Linked DNA regions of Macaca fascicularis. The protein of the gene in region 1 purifies or fractionates together with the protein of each later gene. This does not show direct contact. Links are inferred from orthologs where the notes say so. Each region holds a gene or a part of one and is shown in the gene's direction. Other genes may lie near its edges.

Region 1 (11,537 bases):
CTGCTCATTCTGTGGGGTGAGAAAAGAGATAAGGGGCTAGCTATTAAGTTAATACTCTGTCTTTATTCTGCTGATAAACTTGTAAAACCATAGGTTTTTAAATTATGTGGAAAACTGAGGGGGATCAGTATTTCCTGGTACATTCTTGTATTTTCTTTTGATTAGGACACCCAAATTAAACCTAATCCTCTTAGAAGGATGGGTATTGCAGGAGGATTTTAGAGTTTAGGTATGCCTTTATGGCTGGGATTCTTAAATTGGGGTCCATAGGGCTTTAGTGGGTCCTTGGGTGGACTTTGGAACACTAAACCGTGACATTATAGGCAAAATCTTGAAAATACGCATTTTTTCTGGGGAGATACTTCATAGATGTCGTTGGATATTAAAAAGGATTTGTGATTCCCCCCAAGCCCTCCCCCGCCCCAAAAAAGTTTAAGAACCTCACTATTCTGCAGGAAACATCATTCTTTGGGATTATAACACTAGGAAGCTAACATGTATGTGTTTCCTAGGTCAAAGCTCAGATTCACAGTTGCATAAGCCGTCACCTGGAATGTCTTAGAAGCCGTGAGGTGTGGCTGTATGAACAGGTGGACCTTATTTATCAGCTTAAAGAGGAGACACTTCAACAGCAGGCTCAGCAGCTCTACTGGGTAAGGTGACTGCATGGCTAGAACTGGTTTGAGCATGGCTTCTGGTTGCCAGAGAGTATCTTCCTTGTAATGCAGTGTTAATATAGATCAGATAAAAGTTTAATCTCAAGTTCTGTTTGGTAACTTGAGTATATCTGGTGCTCTTGGTATCATTGTGGCTAGATGGTTTCATTTTTCTTTTAGTTATTGGGCCAATTCAATTGTCTTACTCATCAACTGGAGTGTACCCAAAACAAAGATCTAGCCAATCAAGTCTCTGTGTGCCTGGAGAGGTAACAACCCTTTTTGCTTATTTTAACTTTTGACTCTTTAACTTTGGTATACTAAAAGAAAGTCAATTTTGTAACTCATTGCATGTGTTGTATTTAACTTGTATGTTGCTAGGATAAGATCATTCTGCTTTATGTATTTAATATTATACTTGCTGATACATGAATAAGCCGTCTACCTTTGGTTGAGTATCTTAGAGAAGTATAATCATTTAAAATTACTCACAATTTGACTTTTGTTTTGGGTGAAGTTGATGAAATAGATATTCCTTAAAAATAGCCAATTTTGTTTTTCTTCCCCAGACTGGGCAGTTTGACCCTTAAGCCTGAAGATTCAACCGTCCTGCTCTTTGAAGCTGACACAGCTGCTCTGCGCCAGACCATCACCACATTTGGGTCTCTCAAAACCATTGTGAGTAATCGCATATGCTTCATTGGGCACTTCTCATATCTGTGGCATCACAGCTGGTCTTAAAAAAAATTACTATGAGTAGTGACTTTCTTGAGAATTTGATTAGTTTCAAAAATTTCATGTTCTCAGCTGGGCGTGGTGGCTCATGCCTGTAATCCTAGCACTTTAGGAGGCCGAGGAGGGCGGATCACTTGAGGTCAGAAGTTCGAGACCAGCCTGGCCAACATGGTGAAAACCTGTCTCTATTAAAAATACTAAAAAATTAACTGGGTGCCTGTAATCCCAGCTATTTGGAAGGCTGAGGCAGGAGATTCGCTTGAACCCGGGAGGCGGAGGTTGCAGTGAGCTGAGATCACGCCACTGCATTCTAACCTGGGCGACAGAGTGAGACTCCGCCTAAAAAAAAAAAAGTCATGTTCTGCTTAAGTTGCCTAGGTTGGTAGTTCTTGGAGTGTAGTACAGACTCAGTGATACTCTTTTGGAATGCCTCATGTATCTCTCCAAATACTTCTGATATATTTTTTGTAAAATTTATGGCTTGAATAGTTTTTAATAAAGAACCAAACATTTGGGTCTTGTTAAAAGTGGTAATACAACCAATTCTGGTGAAGATTTTTTATATAATAGTTATGTGGTAGAGTATTCTCAAATTTGATAACTACTTTGTAAGTCATGGAATTTAGTGTCAACAATATTTCTAATGAAATATTAATGCTTTAACATTTTTGAAATTTGGAATTATAATTTCACTTTTTTGGCAGCATAGCATAAATAACATGATTAAATTATCTCATTTCATAGCAAATTCCTGAGCACTTGATGGCTCATGCTAGTTCATCAAATATTGGGCCCTTCCTGGAGAAGAGAGGCTATATCCCAATGCCAGAGCAGGTAAAATACCATTTTGTTTTTGGTAATTAAGTCATTGCTTGGCTTATATTTCCTTTGCGTTTTATATAGCTTTAAAAAAATACTACTATTTGTAAAAAGGCACCAGTGGCAATGAGTTAGTTTATGAAATTGAATGCTTCCCTTGCGATCTAATGCCAAATAGAAATTTAGATATCTTGCTGGGGTTAACAGACAAAGTAATTATCAATAGTTCACAGGAAATTATCATTAGCTGTCTTACTGATACTGGTTCTCTGTGAGGGATCCTGTTTATAATTTGTAGAGATGATTTATTTCTAAAGGAATGGCAATGTGAATAAAGATTCTAGATGTTTTAGTTGAGAAGAGCCCTAGAGATCAGCTATGTCTCTTGTTTTATAATTGTGAAAATTGAGGCTCTGGGAAGGCACAAGACTTGCCCAGGGTCAGTGGCAAGCCAAGATTAGAGAGTGGCTCTTCTCCTTTTCTGGTGAACTTTCTACTGCATTTGACATTCCTTGTTATATGATTAACAGAAGTCAGCATCCGGTATTGTAGCTGTCCCTCTCAGTGAATGGCTCCTTGGAAGCAAACCTGCCAGTGGTCATCAGGCTCCTTACATACATAGCACCGACCCCCACGACTGGCTCACCCAAAAGCAGACCTTGGAGAACAGTCAGGTCTGTTGCTGCTTTTATTGTTTCTACAGTAGACGCAGCAGTAGGTGGGGTTAGTTACTAATTAGTAGTAGTATGTGTCATTGTTAAGTTTTTGGTTGCAGAATTGCTTGAACCTGGGAGGTGGAGGCTGCAGTGAGCCAAAATTGCCCCCACTGCACTCCAGCCTGGGTGACAGAGTGAAATTCTGTCTCAAAAAAATAACAAAACAAAACAAAACAAAAACCAGTTTAGCATCTGGCATGCAGTAGGGGCTCAAGAATTTGATGAACTAGCCGGGCGTGGTGTTGGGCACCTGTAGTCCCAGCTACTTCAGGAGAATGGCGTGAACCTGGGAGGCAGAACTTGCAGTGAGCTGAGATTGCGCCACTGCACTCCAGCCTGGGTGACAGAGCAAGAGTTCGTTTCAAAAAAAAAAAAAAAAAGTGCAGACAGAATCTCCCAAGCAGTCATAATTGTTCTGGCAAACTAATACTGTGTACTTTTTGTGTAGACTTCTCCCAGAGCCTGCAATTTCTTCAGTAATGTCTGGGGAAACCTAAAGGGCTTAGAAAACTGGCTCCTCAAGAGTGAAAAACCAAGTTATCAAAAGTGTAACAGCCATTCCACTACTAGTTCTTTCTCCACTGAAATGGAAAAGGTTGGAGATCAAGAGCTTCCTGATCAAGATGAGATGGACCTATCAGATTGGCTAGTGACTCCCCAGGAATCCCATAAGCTACGGAAGCCTGAGAATGACAGTCGTGAAACCAGTGAGAAGTTTAAGCTCTTGTTCCAGTCCTATAATGTGAATGATTGGCTTGTCAAGACTGACTCCTGTACCAACTGTCAGGGAAACCAGCCCAAAGGTGTGGAGATTGAAAACCTGGGCAATCTGAAGTGCCTGAATGACCACTTGGAGACCAAGAAACAGTTGTCCACCCCCAGCGTGGTTACAGAGGATTGGCTTGTCCAGAACCATCAGGACCCGTGTAAGGTAGAAGAAGTGTGCAGAGCCAATGAGCCCTGCACAAGCTTTGCAGAGTGTGTGTGTGATGAGAATTGTGAGAAGGAGGCTCTGTATAAATGGCTTCTGAAGAAAGAAGGAAAGGATAAAAATGGGATGCCTGTGGAACCCAAACCTGAGCCTGAGAAGCATAAAGATTCCCTGAATATGTGGCTCTGTCCTTCTAGAAAAGAAGTAATAGAACAAACTAAAGCACCAAAGGCAATGATTCCTTCTAGAATTGCTGATTCCTTCCAAGTCATAAAGAACAGCCCCTTGTCGGAGTGGCTTATCAGGACCCCATACAAAGAAAGAAGTCCCAAGGAAGTGCCTAGTACTGAAGACAGAGATGGCAAACAAAAGTTTAAAAGCCCCATGAACACTTCCTGGTGTTCCTTTAACACAGCTGACTGGGTCCTGCCAGGAAAGAAGATGGGCAACCTCAGCCAGTTATCCTCTGAAGAAGACAAGTGGCTGCTTCGAAAGAAGGCCCAGGTGAGCATAAACATCAAAATAGCACTGTTTGAGTTTTATTTATTTATTCATTTATTTTGAGATGGTGGAGTCTCTGTCACCCAGGCTGGAGTGCAGTGGTGCAGTCTCAGCTCATTGCAACCTCCCCTTCTCAGGCTCCAGCCATCCCCCTGCCTGCACTACAGCCTCCTGTGTAGCTGGGACTGTAGGCATGCACCACCATGCCTGGCTAATTTTTTGTATTTTTGGTAGAGATGGGGTTTTGGCCCGGGGTTGGTCTCCTGAACTCCTGAGCTCAAGCGATCTGCCCGTCTCGGCCTCTTAAACTGCTGGGATTACAGGCGTCATCCACCACACCTGGCCTGGAGTTTTATATTTCATAATCCCAAACCTTCCAAACTGGCCAGATCCTTAAATATGTTAAATACTAAATTTGGAATGGAGGATTTATGAATTTTTTGTGTTTTCCAGGCCTAGGCCCCATCCTTCAGGAAAGAAAATAATCTAGCCTGTTTTATTGCTATTTATGGAAAATATTTGGGGTAGAAATAACAATTGTCACCTTTGTTTTTGGTTGTTAGAGAGAATGGCCAACATTTAAATTATTCTCTGTAGACCCTATTTGAAAGATAAGTTGGTCTCATGCCTCCTAGTTTTCATGAAGCAACCTACTCTTTTCTTTTATTGCAGGAAGTATTACTTAATTCACCTCTACAGGAAGAACATAACTTCCCCCCAGACCATTATGGCCTCCCTGCAGTTTGTGATCTCTTTGCCTGTATGCAACTTAAAGTTGATAAAGAGAAGTGGTTATATCGAACTCCTCTACAGGTGGGTACATGCTACCAGTGTGAAAATTAGCTTATAGCTAGTTATAAAATAAATGTTTTGTCTTACATATGAAGTCATACTTGGCTCATTGAACCATATCCCTTTTAATAGTATGTATATTAGGCAAGTGAGGGTGGGACGGGGGAGCTCATAAAAAGTTCATGTGTTTTAATTGAATTTGCTTTATGAACTAACTAGGCATACTTCAAAGGGAACTTTCAAGATGTAACCGTTGGGAATTTTCAAATCCCATGTGGATTCTAATAGCTTATAGACCTACCTTGAAGGTGGGTTTGGTTCCAGGCCACTGCAATAAAGCAAATATCCCAATAAAGTGAGCTACACAAATACTTCCGTTTCCCATTGCATATAAAAGTTGTATATACGTTTGTTACGTCTGTAATAACATCATGTCTTAAGAAGAAAACAATGTATATACCTCAATTAAAAAGTATTTTATTACTACAAAGTGCTGAAGGTCATCTGAGCCATTTACACAATCTTTTTGCTGTTGGAGAGTCTTGCCTTGATGTTGATTGCTGCTGACTGATTAGGATGGTAGCTGTTTGAAGGTTGGGATGGCTGTGTCAATTTCTTTAAATAAGATAATGAAGTTTCCTGCATCAGTTGACTTTTCCTTTTATGAAATACTTCTCTGTAACATGTGATGCTGTGTGATAGCATTTTGTCCACAGTAGAACTTTCAAAATTGGAGTCAAATCATGTTGCTCTTTATCAACTAAGTTTATGTAATATTCTAAATCCTTTGTTGTCACTTCAACAATACACAGCATCTTCTCCAGGAGTAGATTCTATCTCAAGAAATTACTTTCTTTGCTCATCCATAAGCAGCTCATCCGTTTAAGTTTGATCATGAGATGGCAGCATTTCAGTCACACATTCAGGCTCCACTTCTAATTCTACTTCTCTTGTTGTTTCCACCACACCTGCAGTTACTTCCTCCACTGAAGTCTTGAATTCCTCCAAGCCATCCATGAGGGTGGGAATCTGTTTCTTCCAAACTCCTGTTAATGTTGATGTTTTGACTTCCTCTCATGAATCATGAATGGTCTTAGTGGCATCCAGAATGGTGAATCCTTTCCAGGTTTTCAGTTTACTTTGCCCAGATCTATCAGAGGAACCTACACAGCTAGGGCCTTAAAAAATGTATTTCTTAAATAATTCTTGAAAGTTGAAATTACTCTTTGATCCATAGGCTGCAGAATGGGTGTTTTATTAGCAAACATGAAAACATTAATCTCCTTCTGCATCTCCATCAGAGCTTTTGGGTGACCAGGTGCACTGTCAATGGGCGTAGTATTTTGAAAGGAATGTTTTTTCTGAACAGTAGTTCTCAACAGAGGGCTTAAAAGATTCAGTAAACCATGCTGTGAACAGGTGTACTGTCATCCAAGCTTTGTTCCATTTCTGGAGCACAGGCAGAGTAGATTTAGCATAATTATTATTATTATTATTTTTGAGACAGAGTCTCTGTCACCCAGGCTGGAGTGCAGTGGCTCCATCTTGGCTCACTGCAAGCTCTGCCTCTTGGGTTCACACCATTCTCCTGCCTCAGCCTCCCAAGTAGCTGGGACTACTAATTTTTTTGTTTTTTAGTAGAGATGGGGTTTCAGCATGTTAGCCAGGATGGTCTCAATCTCCTGACCTCGTGATCCACCTGCCTCGGCCTCCCAAAGTGCTGGGATTACAGGCGTGAGCCACCGCGCCTGGCCAGATTTAGCGTAATTCTTAAGGGCCCTAGGATTTTTGGAATAGTAATTGAGCACTGGCTTCAACTTAGCCGCCAGTGCAGTGGCTCAGGCCTGCAATTCCAGCACTTTGGGAGGCGGAGGTAGGAAGACTGCTTGATCCCAGGAGTTCAAGACCAGCCTGGGCAACATACAGAGACCCTCTGTACAAAAATTAACAAATTACCTGGGTATGGTGGAGCGTGCCTATTGTCCCAGCTACTCAGGAGGCTGAGGTGAGAGAATCTTGCATCTGGGAGGTCAAGACTGCAATGTGTTATGATAGCTCTGCTGCAGTCTTGCCTGGTTGACAGAGTGACACCCTGTCTCCAAAGAAAAAAAAAAAAGTCACTGACTGTGTTAGTCCCTAACAAGAGAGTCAGTCTGTCCTTTGAAGCCAGGCATTGACTTATCTCTCTAGCTACGAGTTCTAGATGACTACTTCTTGCAATAGGAAGTTGTTTTTGTCTACACTGAAAATATTGTAGCTACTTTCATTTATGATCTTGGCTATTCTGGTTAACATGCCACTTCACGCTGCATTTTTGCTATGGAGATGGCTTCTTTCCTTAAACCTCATGAACCAACCACTGCTAGCTTCAAACATGACTTCTGGTTCCTCACCTCTCTCAGCCTTCATAAAATTGAAGAGAATTAGGGCCTTACTCGGGTTAGGCTTTGGCCTAAGGGAATGTTGTGGCTAGTTTGATCTATCGAGACCACTAAAACTTTCTCCATATCAGAAATAAGGCTGTTCTTTTTAAATCATTCATCTGTTCACTGGAGTAGCACTTCGTTTTTTTCAAGAACTTTTCAGCCAGAGAATGAGAAGCTAAAAAACAACAAAAAAACACTTTGATTTTGTGTTCACAGCTTGGCTGGTCCAAAAGGCCTGCCCAGCTTTCAGCCTCTCTTGGCCTTCAACATGACTTTCTCGCTCTGGCTTTTGATTTAAATAGAATGAGAGATGGGGACTCTTCCTTTTGTTGAACACTTAGATGCAATTGTAGGGTTAATAATTGGCCTAATTTCAATCTTGTTTGTCTCAGGGAACCAGGGAGGCCTGAGGAGAGGGCAGAGAAATGCGGAAAGGCTGTTTGGTGGGCATTCAGGACATACATTTATCGATGAAAAGTTTACCATCTTTAATGGGCACAGTTAATGACACAAACGCTCAATTTGTAAAAAATACAATATAACAAGGTATACCTATATTGGGAAATGAGTCAGAGCTTTAAGGCAGGGAAAATTTGCTTTTATTCTTCAGTGAAGTAACTTATCTGTGGGCGTTTCTTTACAGATGTGAAGGAATGGACAAGAGTTGAGCAGCCTTTCTGCCGATTATCACACATCATGAGCTGAATGACTGCGGCTTGCCAAATCTTTGTGTTTCTGGGTCTGACCAGTTAGCTTAGTTCTTCTCCTGCCTAATTTTGAACTAGTAAAGCAAAGTGAGTCATCAGATTATGAGTTACTGTTTAAAAGAAAAATGCTGTTTATTCATGCTGAGGTGATTCAGTTCCCTCCTTCTTACAGAAGTATTAATTCACCCCACACTAGAAAAGCAGCATCTTTGTGGATAGTCTTTTTCACAAACCTCCAAGGCTCCTTAGATTGGGTCATTACTAAAAGTACATTAAAACACTCTTGTTTAAAAATGAATTATTTCCGTAATCGAAGTGTATTGATGTATTCTAAAGCTAGTAAACTTCCCTAATGTTTAATTGCCCTACAGATGCTTCTTTTGCTGTGGGTTTTCTCCTGTTAGTGGTCTGAAATAATGATTTTCCTGTTCTATTAATATATAGTGTATTTTGCACAAAAAATTAACCTGGTCAGTAGTGATTACCAAAATATGTATTAATAATCTTGGCAATTTTTGACATTTTAGCCCACGTTAGTTCTACATTATTCTTAAAAGAAACTCAGCTACTGCAAATTTTGTCTTTCTGTAAATGTTATTAAAATATCCAGTGAGCTCTTTTAGAAGGACTCAGTAATATTTCAAGACTATTTTTGAGGTAGTTCTAGCCTTTTAAAATATTCTACAGACCTATGGGGCTTAAAAGAACCCAAGTACCGACTAAGCAAATAGGCAAAAGACATGTTGGAAATGTAGTATAGTACTTGAACCATTCACTATCATAGGGATTATTGGTGCATCCTGTGTAAATGGAAGCTGAGCTTGACACCTGGTGCTTTTAACTAGTGATAAAGTCATCCTTTCACTGCAAGCACAGCATACCTGTACCTCCAAAAGTGATGTTTTAGTGAACAGGCCGTTTTCAACACTTGTGCCTTGGGGTGATCATTGAAGCTTTGTGAAAACTACTGATGTTTTCTCAGTCTCCTTAAAGTTACGTCCATGCTTTAAAATGTCTGTAGGAAAGTGGGTTTATGTTTTCTCTAAGATACCTTTGCTGCTTTCCATACTTTGAAACTATTAAGCTTCTTAACTGCCTCTTATTGGAAATACTTCTGGGGAAACTTCATGGTCCCACAATGTCATTGCCATACAGCTTCACTAGAGTTCTTTGAACCACAGCTGAAAAGAGCTTTGTATTATTTTTTAATTCCCTCTCCAGATATCGTTTTAGGAGTATTATAACAAAGGTGGTGGGCAAAAACAATGTAAGGAGCCTTTCCAGTTATCTTGAGTTGCAGCTCTGTAGTTTCTTTTTTGAGGCCAAACACACTGTATTTTACAAGTCAAAATATAATTTATATTAATCACTATGTTAATGAGTATGTGAAACATTCTTTTGCATTGATGAATTTTGTATCTGCCTCCATTAAAAGCATAACAGCCATAGTTGTTGCGTGTTATTTGTAAAACTATTTGTCACAAAGTGTGGTGTTATGTAATGTGGCAACTTTTGGTTAGGAATCCAGCTGAGAAACAGCTTGAGCATAAAAATAACCAGTGTATTTTATGAAAAATTAGAAAACAATAGGTATATTAACCTCCATTTTCAGTCTTTTATGAAAACTATTCGTATCTATTAAAAAAAAACCTACGGGACTTCAGCTAAGACTCAGTGCCTTTCTACTGGATTCCTCTTACTAGATGCATCCAAAAAGGCCCTAGTTTACTTTCTCCAATCATATAGCCACCCGGTATTTAATACAGTAATATTTATGTGTGTAACCTGTAGTGCAGTTATACATGATTAACTTCATACTGTGGATGAGAAAACAAACTCAAACTAAACAGCTTGGCCTTATGTCCTTTGGTTTTCCCAAGGCTTCCTTGAAAAAAACATCTAGCTCTTGGTCAGGCACGGTGGCTCACGCCTGTAATCCCAGCACTCTGGGAGGCCGAGGTGGGTGGATCACCTGAGGTCAGGAGTTTGAGACCACCCTGACAAAGATGGTGAAACCCCGCCTCTACTGAAAATACAAAAATTAGCTGGGCACGGTGACAAGTGCCTGTAATCCCAGCTACTTGGGAGGCTGAGGCAGGAGAATTATTTGAACCCAGGAGGTGGAGGTTGCAGTGAGCTGAGATCGCGCCACTGCACTCCAGCCTGGGCAACAAGAGTGAGACCCTGTCTCGAAAAAAAAAAACCAAAACCTAGCTCTGATTTATTCCTAGTGAGGCGTTAATATGTATGGAATGAAGCAGGATCATTGGAAAGATTGTTCTAGTATGCTAGTCTAATGGTTAACCTGAAATACCTTGAGGTGGTTTAGCATCAGCTCTATTGGTGAATGCCACCAGTAGCTTATTTCTTTTTTTGAAATGGAGTCTCACTGTTGCCTGCGCTGGAGTGCAGTGGCATCATCTGGGCTCACTGCAACCTCCGCCTCCTGGGTTCAAGCGATTCTCCAGCCTCAACCTCCTGAGTAGCTGGGGTTACAGGGGCACGCCCACCACACCTGGCTGATTATTGTATTTTATTAGTAGAGACAAGGTTTTGCCATGTTGGCCAGGCTGATCTTCAAACTCCTGACCTCAGGTGATCCTCCTGCCTTGGCCTCCCATAGTATTGGGATTACAGGCGTGAGCCACCGCACCCAGCCACCAGTAGCTCATTTCAACACAAACATGAAGATGTTGTTTTGCCTCAATTGGGACAGAAAATGCTGAGAGTACCTTTCACTTTATACCAAGGTAGATACTTTTAAATTGAGACAACTATGTTTCTGTGTTGGAGTTACAACTTTAGTTCTGTTTTTACCCTTTATTTGGAATACAGTGCAACATTACAGTTTTGGATCATTAAATGAACAGACTTGGTGATATAGTACTGACAAGCATGACCTGAATTCTGGGAGTAAGTGGTTTTCTAGTTCATGGGGGAGGAGAAGAGATATGTGCAAGATCTTCTCCAGAGGAGAAGAGAACCATGGTTCTCAGTGAGTCACCAAAGGCCTTTGGCTTCAACTCACTAATGGCTGGAACAAGTGCCAGTCTTGGTCAACCATCCAGGATTTTCATCACAGCAAATCAAAATCTCCAATTTTTCAAACTAATTGTAGGTAGGAGAGAGAGGATAACTCCAGACTGTCTTATAAAATGATCTAGATACTAAGTGTCCTCCATTCATGAGTTGGCAAAATCTTCAGAGTGACTGTTGGAGCAAGGAGCCTTTCATGTGCTCCCAGTTATTATATA
Region 2 (11,808 bases), on another chromosome or scaffold:
TTTTTTGGGCTGCTGGAAAGACTTTTTTTTTTTTTTTTTGGAGACAGAGTCTCGCTTTGTTGCCGAGGCTGGAGTGCAATGGCACCATCTCAGCTCACTGCAACCTCCACCTCACAGGTTCAAGTGATTCTCATGCTTTAGCCTTCCAAGTAGCTAGAATTACAGGCACGTACCACCATGCCTGGCTAGCTTTTGTATTTTTAGTACAGACGGGGTTTTGCTGTGTTGGCCAGGCTAGTCTCAAACTCCTGGCCTCAAGTGAGCCGTCCACCTTGGCCTCCCAAAATGCTGGGATTACAGGCGTGAGCCACTGCGCCCGGCCTGGAAAGACTTTAAATTTACTCTGAGTGTGATGGGAGTGATTGGCTGGTTTTAAATATGGAAGTGACGTGACCTGATTTATGAATTTAAGGGATTATTCTAGGAAGTATAGGTGCCCCTTGACTTGCAATGGTGTTACATCCTAGTATTCCCATCATAAATTGAAAAAACATAAGTTGAAAATGCATTCAATCTCCTGATAAACCCATAGTAGGATCAAAATTGTAAGTCAAACCATCATAAGTTGGGGACTGTCTATATAGCAAAATGTTCATTGTAGAATCTAGGTGGCGGTTATATGGCTGTTAACTGTGGAATTCTTTTCACTTTTCTTTATGAAGATTCTCATAAGGAAATATGGTGGGGGAGGTGGTGAAATGATCCTGGCTGTTGGCCAAAAAGAGATCATGGGGTACAAAGGCTGAAGCAAGGAGGCTGGAGAGGTGGCACCTATCATAGTCTTGCTGAAAGATGACAAGCCCAGGCCCGGGTGGTAGCAGCAGAGGTGGGTGGGGGGGATTTAAAGAGGTGGGGTCTTGCTCTGTTGCCCAGACTGGAGTGCAGTAGTGATCATAGCTCACTGCAGCCTCAAACTGCTAGGCTCAAGCAGTTCTCCCACCTCAGCCTCCAGAGTAGCTGGGACTACAGGAGCATGCCACCATGCCCCACTAACTGTGGCATTAGCCTTTTTCTGTAGAGATGGGGTCTCGCTATGTTGTCCAGGCTGGTCTCCAACAGGGAGGGATATTTCTTTTTGGAAGTTTTGTTTGTTTGTTTGTTTGTTTTGAGACAGAGTCTTGCTCTGTCACCAAGGCTGAAGTGCAGTGGCGTGACTTTGGCTCACTGCAGTCTCGACCTCCCGGGTTCAAGCGATTCTCCTACCTCAGCCTCCTGAGACGCTGGGATTACAGGCGCTCCCCACCACACCAGCTAATGGGAGGGATGTTTCTTTTTTTTTTTCTGAGATGGAGTCTCGCTTTGTTGCACCCAGGCTAGAGTACAATGGTGCGATCTCGGCTCACTGCAACCTCCACCTCCTGGGTTCAAGCGATTCTCCTGCCCCAGCCTCCAGAGTTGCTTGGGATTATAGGCATCCGCTACCACACCTGGCTAATTTTCGCATTTTTAGTGGAGATGGGGTTTCACCATGTTGGCAGGCTGTTCTCGAACTCCTGACCTCAGGTGATCTGCCTGCCTCAGCCTCCCAACGTGCTGGGATTACAGGCGTGAGCCACCGCGCTCGGCCAAGAGGAATTATTTCTTGATGTGTTTTCAAGATTGAGCTGATGGGGCTTGAACGTTGGCGGTGAGGGGAATAGTAGTGCAGGTGATGGTGGGGCCACCTACAGAGCGGGGATGACAGAATAGAGGTGGCCAGATAAAGGCTGAAGGAGAAGTCTTGGGAGTCGGGAGAGAAGGTCAGGGATCCATGGGCAGGGGCCAGTCTTCTCTGGCCGGGTGCAGTGGCTCACGCCTGTAATCCCAGCACTTTGGGAGGCCAAGGCAGGCGGATCACGAGGTCAGGAGATCGAGACCATCCTGGCTAACACGGTGAAACCCCATCTCTACTAAAAATACAAAAAATTAGGTGGGCGTGGTGACGGGCGCCTGTAGTCCCAGCTACTCGGGAGGCTGAGGCAGGAGAATGGTGTGAACCCGGGAGGCGGGGCTTGCAGTGAGCTGAGATCCGGCCACTGCACTCCAGCCTGGGCGACAGAGCGAGACTCCGTCTCAAAAAAAAAAAAGAAAAAAAAGAAAATTCCTCTCTGGGGAAGTGACATTTGCGCTGAGCGCTGAAGGGTGAGAATTTGCTTGGTCGAGGCCTGTTTAGGTGGAAACAGGAGCACAAGAAGAGGTCCCGAGGCAGGAAGAATTTGATGGGAATTTTTTAAATTAAAAAAAAAAAAAATGGGGCCGGGCGCGATGGTTCACATCAGCACTTCGGGAGGCTGAAGCACACGGATCATCTAAGGTCAAGAGTTTGAGACCATCCTGACCAACATGGTGAAACCTGTCTGTACTAAAAATACAAAAAACAATTAGCCCAGTGTGGTGGCAGATGTCTGTAATACCAGCTGCTTGGGAAGCTCAGACAGGAGAATAACTTAAATCCGGGAGGTGGAGGTTGCAATGAGCCGAGACTGCGCTATCGCACTCCAGCCTGGGCAACAAGATCAAAACTCCATCTCAAAAAAAAAAAAAAGATTAGCCAGGCATGTTGGCACGCACCTGTAATCCCAGCTCTTTGGAGGCTGAGGCAGGAGAATTGCTTGAACCCGGAAGGCAGAGCTTTCAGTGAGCCAAGATTGTGCCACTGCACTGCATCCTGGGTGACAGAGCAAGACTCCATCTTAAAAAAAAAAAAAAAAATGGGCCGGGCGCGGTGGCTCAAGCCTGTAATCCCAGCACTTTGGGAGGCCGAGACTGGCGGATCACGAGGTCAGGAGATCGAGATCATCCTGGCTAACCCAGTGAAACCCCGTCTCTACTAAAAAATACAAAAAACTAGCCGGGCGAGGCGGTGGGCGCCTGTAGTCCCAGCTACTCGGGAGGCTGAGGCAGGAGAATGACGTGAACCCGGGAGGCGGAGCTTGCAGTGAGCTGAGATCCGGCCACTGCACTCCAGCTTGGGCGACAGACCGAGACTCCGTCTCAAAAAAAAAAAAAAAAAAAAAAAAAAATGGAAGCAGCTCAGTGAGGCACAAAACAGGAAGTGGAAAGGTGGAGTGAGGTCAGGCTAGAGCCTGCACACAGGGCTTGTGGGCTGCGTTGTGCTTTCAGGTCTTCATCCTGAGGGTACTGGGGAGCCACAGAAGGCTCAGGGATGGGGCAGTTGAGAGTAACATGATCTTGTTTACAATTTTATTTAATTAATTAATTTATTTTTTAAGACAAGACTCTTGCTCTATTGCCCAGGCTGCAGTGAAGTGGTGTGATCTGGGCTCACTGCAACCTTTGCCCCCTGGGTTCAAGCGATTCACCTGCCTCAGCATCCCAAGGAGCTGGGATTACAGGTGCCTGCCACCACACCCAACTAATTTTTGTATTTATTTGTTTATTTTGAGATGGAGTTTTGCTCTTGTTGCCCAGGCTGGAGTGCAATGGCGCGACCTCGGCTCACCGCAACCTCCGCCTCCCGGGTTCAAGCGATTCTCCTGCCTCAGCCTCCCAAGTAGCTGGGATTACAGGCATGCACCATCATGCCCGGCTAATTTTGTGTTTTTAGTAGAGATGGGGTTACTCCGTGTTGGTCAGGCTGTTCTTGAACTCCCAACCTCAAATGATCCACCTGCCTTGGCCTCCCAAAGTGCTGGGATTACAGGCATGAGCTGGTGCTCCTGGCCATGTTTACAATATTTGAAGCCGACTTCAATTGTGGGTGGCAGAAATCTTTGAGGGGAGGCAAAGAATTGAGAAAGGAGGCTGGGGGCCACTATCCCCAGGCATTGGGGACAAGGTTCGGTCCCTAACATTCACTCCACTCCCCACAGGCCCTGTGTACCAAGGTGCCCGAACTGATCAGAACCATCATGGGCTGGACGCTGGACTTCCTCCGGGAGCGGCTGTTGGGCTGGATCCAAGACCAGGGTGGTTGGGTGAGACTCCTCAACCCTCCTCACCCCAACCACCGCCCCTGCCCCACTGTCCCTGCCCACCCGCCACTCCTCTGGGACCCTGGGCCTTCTGGAGCCGGTCACAGTGGTGCCCTCTCCCCATCTTCGGATCGTCAGATGTGGTCTATAATGCATTTCCTTATGTGTCTGATCAATCCCTGATTCATCTATCCCACTGACCTCCCGGTGACCTCTGACCTCACTGTGACCTTGACTTGATTAGTGCCTTCTGCCCTCCCTGGAGCCTCCACTGCCTCCGGAATTGCTCAAGTTCATTGATGATCCTCTGACCCCAACTCTTGTCTTTTTTTTTTCCCCACTGAGAAGGGGGTGTCGCTATGTTGCCCAGGTTGGTCTCGAACTCCTGGCCTCAAGCGATCCTCCTGCCTCAGCCTCTCAAAGTGCTGGGATTACAGGTGTGAGCCACCATGCCTGGCCTGAGCCCAGCTCTTCAATGCCCATTCATGTTAGTCCCCTGCCCACAATCCTGCCTTCTGACCTCCTCCTGCCTCCCTGATCCTGCCTGTGCCTGCCCAGGGGCTGCCCCTGGCCGAGTCGCTGAAGCGACTGATGTCCCTGTCTCCAGGACGGCCTCCTCTCCTACTTTGGGACGCCCACGTGGCAGACCGTGACCATCTTGGTGGCTGGAGTACTCACCGCCTCCCTCACCATCTGGAAGAAGATGGGCTGAGGCCCCCAGCTGCCTTGAACTGTGTTTCTCCTCCATAAATTATGGCATTTTTCTGGGAGGGGTGGGGATTGGGGGACATGGGCATTTTTCTTACTTTTGTAATTATTGGGGGGGTGGGGAAGAGTGGTCTTGAGGGGGTAATAAACCTCCTTCGGGACATACTTCGGCATCTGAGTCACTGGGCCTCTGCCCCGCTCCCTGGCACATCAGGAGAGCAGGCCCTGCCCGCCGCCCCATGCCAGGCCTGCCGTCTGCTCACCGAGAGATACCTGCTCGGGCCACTCAGGGACGTGGGGCTCTCTGCACTCCCTTGACATCTTTTTCTGGGGTGCCCATTGGGGTCTGCGGGTTAGGGATGAGTTGGTCCCGGGCCTACCCTGCAGGAGCCCACAGTCGTGAAGGGAAACGAAGGTGACTGGTGGCACATCTGTCGCAGCCCAGGACGATCTGTGCAGGACAGAGGCAGTGGCCTGTGAGGCCTGAGCAGGCGTGTGGGTAGGGGGAAGAACAGCACAGCTGGCTGCACAGCAAGCCTCCAGAGCCTGGGACCAGAGCCTGGAGTGTCACACATGGGACCTCAGGAGGCCATACCTTTATGGAGCTGGAGAATGGGGGTGGGAGGAGGAGGGATGGTAGGACCAGGGAAGCAGGAAGGGCTCTGGAGCCTGGGGTGACTGGAAGGTGGCAGGCTGAGGACACCAGGGCAAGAGAGCCCATGGGAGAGGCCTCCTGAGCTGGGCTGAGGACAGAGAGGCTGGAGGGCAGGGCAGAGGCGGAGGAACCTGGTCTGGCCCCACGGCTGGGTGGGGCCCCCCTGGAGAGGAACTCCCGGAAGAAGGTGCCGAACTCAGAGGCCCAGTGACCTCAGACAAGGGCCGAGCGAAGACAAGGGGGTTAGAGGATGTGGGTTCTCAGTCAGAGTCTCCGGCGCCCCCTCTCTCTGGCTCTGTCATTCCCCTCTGGGTCTTTACCCCCTCCCATCTCTGGGTCTCTGTCCCCACTTCTCTCTCTGGGTCTTTGCTTTCCAAGTCTCTGTTCCCACCCCACCTTTGGCCCTCTTTCTCTGGGCTCTTTCCACCCCCCATCCCCAGACCTCTGGCCTCCTCTCTCTGGGTCTCTAGCCCCCCTCTGAATCTCTGGCCCCCCATCTCTCTCTGTGTCTCTGTCCCCCCACCCTGAGTCTCTGTCCCCCTCCCTCTCTGGGTCTCTGTCCCCCTCTCTTGGGTCTCTTCTCCCCCGCCCTGTCTCTGTCCCCCCTCATCCCTGTCCCACCCTCTCTCTGGGTCTCTGTTTTTCCACCTAGTCCCTGTCCCCTTCTCTCTGAGTCCCTGTTTCCCCTCTCTCTGGGTCTCTGGCCCCACCTCTCTCTGGATCTCTGTCTGCCCCCCCTTCTCTCTGGATCTGTACCCCTGCTCTGGATTTCTACTCCCCCCGGGGTCCCTCTGGGCCTCTGTCCCCCCAACCCCCGGGTCTCTGTACCTCCCTGCCTCTGTTCCCCTCCCACCCCTGTCCTCCTCTCTCTGGGTTTCTGTCCCCCTCTCTCTCAGGGTCTCTGTCTCCCTCTTTCTGGGTCTCTGTCCCCCCCTCTCTCTGCGTCTCTGTCCCCCTCTCTGGATCTCTGTCCCCCTCTCTCTCTGTCCCCCTCTCTCTCAGGGTTTTGTCTGAGTCGCTTTTTCTCTGGGCCTCTGTGTCCCCACTCCACGTTCTCTATGGTCTTCAGATCCTGTCTCTCTCAGCCCCTCCTCTACCTCCACCTATGGGCCCCAAGGCCCCTCTCGGGACTAAAGGTCTCTGGGCTGAGGTATGACATTTGGTAAATGAGTAACTCAGGTCCCACAGTCAACCGGGTGCTTTGGGCGGCTGTCCCTCCTCCATGGACTCTTCCCAAAGACCCCAAGTCAGGGGAGAGAGGAAATAGGATCAATGAGTGTACACTGAGCCACCACCCAGAGTGAGGGGACAATATGGCCACAGGCAGGATCCCAGGAAAAAAAGAAAAAAACATGGGAACCAAAACGACACGGAGACAAAGCACACAGCCGGCTTCCAACAAGGGGGGACCTGGGGGGAAGGGGCCCGATTTGGGTCTGAGCCAGGTCTACTTCTGAGGGTCCCACCAAAAAAGTCGGGGAGTGCCAAGGGGATGAGGTCAGTGAGTGGCCCCACCCACATCCGTCCCCGCGGGGGGCCCCTTCCCGCGCTGAGCTCAGCATGACTCAGCAGTCGCTGCCTGCAACAAGGACCCCAGATACCGGCCTGGCGAGGCATCTGCAGATCCCCTCGGTCAGGGGCTGCCCTGCCTGGGCTGCTCGGAGCGGCTCCTCTGTAGGGCAGGGCCTGACCTCACACCCCACGCCCCAGTGGCTTCAGCTCCCTGCCCAGCGCACGGGCTACCTCCATCGGGGCACTTAAGCAGGGTCAAGGTTTGCGCCGACTCCGTCTCCCAGAAATCAACATGGACCAGGTCCGCTTAAAAAATACGCATTAGAGAGGCCGGGCGCGGTGGCTCAAGCCTGTAATCCCAGCACTTTGGGAGGCCGAGACGGGCGGATCACGAGGTCAGGAGATCGAGACCATCCTGGCAAACACGGTGAAACCCCGTCTCTACTAAAATACAAAAAAAAATTAGCCGGGCGAGGTGGCGGGCGCCTGTACTCCCAGCTACTCGGGAGGCTGAGGCAGGAGAATGGCGTGAACCTGGGAGGCGGGGCTTGCAGTGAGCTGAGATCCGGCCACTGGACTCCAGCCTGGGCAACAGAGCCAGACTCTGTCACAAAAAAAAAAAAAAAAAATACGCATTAGTTGTAGACAGACGTCTCGTCCATAGGTCCCCAGACTGTGTGTCCACAACGCAGGGCTTCTCTTTGTGGGCCTGAAAGAGCACACGTCAGGCAAGACACGACGGCAACTGCGGAGACACTGTTTTCAGGGCCAAGGAGAATTCTCGGAGTCTGTGAGTTGCCTCCAAAACAGCCCCCAGGACACGCAGTCCCAGAGACACCGCAAAGCTCGAAACAGACATTTCATTCCTCCCCATTTCCACTCCCAGAAAACGACTGGGCCCTTGAAAGAGCTCCAAGGTATCCCCAAAGTCCCAGCCAGTCTTTGGAGGGTTTCCGAGGGCTGTCCAGGGTTCCAGAAGTCATCCTACCTCATACAATGCTCCTCCTGGGCTTCCCGCACTGGGGAACCCCACGGCTCCAGAACAACTGCCCTTTCCAACTTGCAGAGCACCTCAAGGACCTAAAGATCTCCCCGGGGGAGGGCTCCAAAATATAGAGTTTGCATCGTGAACTCCCACCTCTGTAAAGCCCAGGACTCCAGTCCTCGCACCCCTCTGTCTCCCAGAGATCCCCAGGGGTCCAGAAATACCACCTCACTGCCTTCCAAGCTTCCCAAGGATCCGGAGACTCCTTATCTCGCAGCACAAACCTCAGGCAACTACAGGTCCTCCCTGCACCTCTGAGTTGCCCCTCCCCCCACTCAAGATTCCAGAAAAATCCATGCCCTCCAAAACCCCAGAATCTGACTTACTTTCCCGAGGCACCCCCAGGACCCCAGGGTCATCAGTTCACAGGACTCTTAATGCTCCCATAAAACTATAGTCTCCCAGAGGAACCCCAGCCCCCACCCCCCACCCCCCCGCCCACGAAACCCTCCATTCCTCGAATCGGCCCCAGGGCCCCAACCCCCGCAAGCCCCCATTTCACAACACACTCGCGCTGCAGGCGCGTGACTTCCCCCTGCTTTGGGGCGGGGGCTGAGACTCCTGTGTGCTCCGGATTGGTCAGGCACGGACTTCGGCCCCGCCTCCTGCCACCGCAGATTGGCCGATAGCCCGCTCCGAGCGCCCCGCCTCCGAGGGCCAGCGCACTATAAAAGAAGCCGCCCTAGCCACGTCCCCTGGCAGTTCGGCGGTCCCGCGGGTCTGTCTCTTGCTTCAACAGTGTTTGGACGGAACAGATCCGGGGACTCTTTCTTCCAGCCTCCGACCGCCCTCCGATTTCCTCTCCACTTGCAACCTCCGGGACCATCTTCTCGGCCATCTCCTGCTTCTGGGACCTGCCAGCACCGTTTTTGTGGTTAGCTCCGTCTTGCCGACCAACCATGAGCTCCCAGATTCGTCAGAATTATTCCACCGACGTGGAGGCAGCCGTCAACAGCCTGGTCAATATGTACCTGCAGGCCTCCTACACCTACCTCTCTCTGGTGAGTCCCCAGGACGCCCCTGGCCCTAATTTCCCCCAGCTGCGCACGTTCGGCCCTCAGCGCAGGCGCCGGCCTTCTTTGTCCGGTCGAGTAAACAGAGGGCAGAGTCCCCCTTGGCCTCGCCTCCCGCTAAGCGTTGTTCCCTCCATCTCTTTCCTTAGGGCTTCTATTTCGACCGCGATGATGTGGCTCTGGAAGGCGTGAGCCACTTCTTCCGCGAATTGGCCGAGGAGAAGCGCGAGGGCTACGAGCGTCTCCTGAAGATGCAAAACCAGCGTGGCGGCCGCGCTCTTTTTCAGGACGTCAAGGTAACTAGTGTGTGGGTAGGGTAACGGACTACATCTCCCAGCAGGCCGTGCGCGCGAGGAGCCTTGATTTGAGGGCTTAGATGTCGCGTGGGCTTCGGGGAGATTGAGTTCGGTCTTGTGAGCCCTTTTACGGCTGGAAATAGAGGCGCACGTCGTGCAGTGCCCCCAGGACGCGGCAGTCCACACTGCTGCGTAGACGTAAGGACGTGTAGCTGTAAGAGCTAGGACGGGGTGCGGAGAGTGATAAATACAAGCTGTCACATGTCTTTGTGGCCTGGGCCTCTGACCCCCACCAACTCTTGGGAAATGTAGGTTTAGTTCCATGTGCCGAGTGTGTGTATTCTGAAGCCGTTTCTCCCTTCTGTATAGAAGCCAGCTGAAGATGAGTGGGGTAAAACCCCGGATGCCATGAAAGCCGCCATGGCCCTGGAGAAAAAACTGAATCAGGCCCTTTTGGATCTTCATGCCCTGGGTTCTGCCCACACGGATCCCCATGTACGTACCCCCTGCATCCATGGCTACCCAACCATACCCCTCAAGCCTTTGCTCTCTTTGGGCAAATTCCCTTCAGAGCCTCATTTAACACCTGTCATATTTTAATCTGCAACTGGCAGCTCTTTCTCCCTCTTTTCCAGGGATCGGGTTTCCTTTTTTTTTTTTTTGAGACGGAGTCTCACTCTGTCGCCCAGGCTGGAGTGCAGTGGCCGGATCTCGACTCACTGCAAGCTCCGCCTCCCAGGTTCACGCCATTCTCCTGCCTCAGCCTCCCAAGTAGCTGGGACTACAGGCACCCGCCACCTCGCCCAGCTAGTTTTTTGTATTTTTTTTTTTTTTAAGTAGAGACTGGGTTTCACCGTGTTAGCCAGGATGGTCTCGATCTCCTGACCTCGTGATCCGCCCGTCTCGGCCTCCCAAAGTGCTGGGATTACAGGCTTGAGCCACCGCGCCCGGCAGGGATCGGGTTTCTAATTTCTCCCTCTTCTCTCTCAGCTCTGTGACTTCCTGGAGACTCACTTCCTAGATGAGGAAGTGAAGCTCATCAAAAAGATGGGTGACCACCTGACCAACCTCAACAGGCTGGCCGGCCCGGAGGCTGGGCTGGGCGAGTATCTCTTCGAAAGGCTCACTCTCAAGCACGACTAAGAGCTTTCTGAGCCCAGCGACTTCTGAAGGGCCCCTTGCAAAATAATAGGGCTTCTGCCTAAGCCTCTCCCTCCAGCCACTAGGCAGCTTTCTTAACGACCCTAACAAGCCTTGGACCAAATGGAAATAAAGCTTTTTGATGCAGTTGGTGGTTTTGTGTGTGGTATGGAAGATGAGGTGGGATCTGTTCTCATAAAGCTTCTGGCTGGGTTGGGGATGCCAGTGAAAGAGGAGTTGGCCCCATCTCCCATTTTCTTATCTCTTCTAAGACAAGAAGCTATCTGGGTAGTGTTGAACTTGAGGGTTCTCTGCTTGCCTGGCTGTTAACTGTCCCTCCCAGATGGCAGAGATAGCCTCCAGGGAGTTGAATTAAGACCTAGGTTGGTACCTGGACACAGATCTGTTCGGTTTCAGCCAGAAACAGCACTATTTAACGAGTGATTATGAGGCCAGGTGGGCCGATCAGCTGATGTCAGGAGTTCGAGACCAGCCTGACCAACATGGAGAAACCCCGCCTCTACTAAAAATACAAAATTAGCCGGGTGTGGTGGTGCATGCCTGTAATCCCAGCTAGTCAGGAGGTTGAGGCAGGAGAATCGCTGGAACCTGGGAGGCGGAGGTTGCGGTGAGCTGAGATCAACGTCATTGCGCTCCAGCCTGGGCAACAACAGCGAAACTCTGGTCTCAAAAAAAACCCAAAAACCATATCTGCCTCACGGAGGTTGCAGTGAGCTGATATCGCGCCAATGTGCTCCAGACAGGGCAATGGAGTGAGACTGTCTCAAAAAAAAAAAAAAAAAAACAAACCTCAATTCTGGGAGGCAGCTGAAATTATTAGGCCCTTTATATGGGCACATTGAGGCTATTGCTGTGCAACTTGCATGGCAACCAGGAGGCTCACTGAGGTCTTTGCTCCAGAGTTTACAGATTATGGCCCAAGCTTCAGTAATCCCAATGTGAGGCGCACACTGAGAGGAACTGACAGGCGGAGCTGAGCGGCCAGGCACACGTGATGCCCAAGCAATGCTGGACAAGGGGTTTAGGGTTCATCATAGAAATGGGATGTGAAACTTTGGGCCAGATTCTCCAAGTGGGAACTGAAAAAGCTGAAAACAGGCCTTAAAAAGCATCTGCTGGGTCCAAGCTGCAAAACTGCTTTGTCAGCTCTGACTCCTCCCCTTCTTCCCCTGGGGCTGGGGTGGGGCGGGGTGGCTCAAGCCTGTAACCCCAGCACTTTGGGAGGCTGAGGCAGGAGGCTCACTTGAGCCCAGGAGTTTGAGACCAGCCTAGGCAACATAGGGAACCCCCCATTCTCTAAAAAAAAATAAATTAATTTAACCAGGTGTGGTGGCACGTGCCTATAGTCCCCGTTACTTGGAAGGCTGAGGTGAGAGGATCACTTGAGCCTGGGAGGTTGAGGCTGCAGTGAGCCATGATTTCTCCACTGCACTCCAGTCTGGGATTCAGAGGGAGATCCTGTTATCAAAAAAAGAAGTGGCCAGGCACGGTGGGTCACACCTGT

The links.
Region 2: the proteins of NCOA4 (region 1) and FTL purify together in Homo sapiens (co-immunoprecipitation; 3 studies listed by BioGRID and IntAct, counting the BioPlex papers as one, with this or other methods). This does not show direct contact. The link is inferred for Macaca fascicularis from reciprocal best matches to the Homo sapiens genes NCOA4 and FTL.

What each region holds. Positions count from the first base shown.
Region 1 is NC_088383.1:59,174,968-59,186,504, reverse strand, and holds the end of NCOA4 (nuclear receptor coactivator 4), read left to right. Parts: intron 1-512; coding exon 513-653; intron 654-836; coding exon 837-925; intron 926-1,225; coding exon 1,226-1,334; intron 1,335-2,135; coding exon 2,136-2,225; intron 2,226-2,740; coding exon 2,741-2,884; intron 2,885-3,374; coding exon 3,375-4,361; intron 4,362-5,030; coding exon 5,031-5,171; intron 5,172-8,219; coding exon 8,220-8,225; 3' UTR 8,226-9,729; downstream 9,730-11,537. Other genes in the region: mitochondrial import inner membrane translocase subunit Tim23, read right to left, coding at 11,485-11,537. UniProt on the Homo sapiens protein: Cargo receptor for the autophagic turnover of the iron-binding ferritin complex, playing a central role in iron homeostasis. Acts as an adapter for delivery of ferritin to lysosomes and autophagic degradation of ferritin, a process named ferritinophagy.
Region 2 is NC_088393.1:56,940,656-56,952,463, forward strand, and holds FTL (ferritin light chain), read left to right. Parts: upstream 1-8,531; 5' UTR 8,532-8,733; coding exon 8,734-8,835; intron 8,836-8,996; coding exon 8,997-9,143; intron 9,144-9,512; coding exon 9,513-9,638; intron 9,639-10,133; coding exon 10,134-10,286; 3' UTR 10,287-10,430; downstream 10,431-11,808. Other genes in the region: apoptosis regulator BAX, read left to right, coding at 3,813-3,917, 7,454-7,873.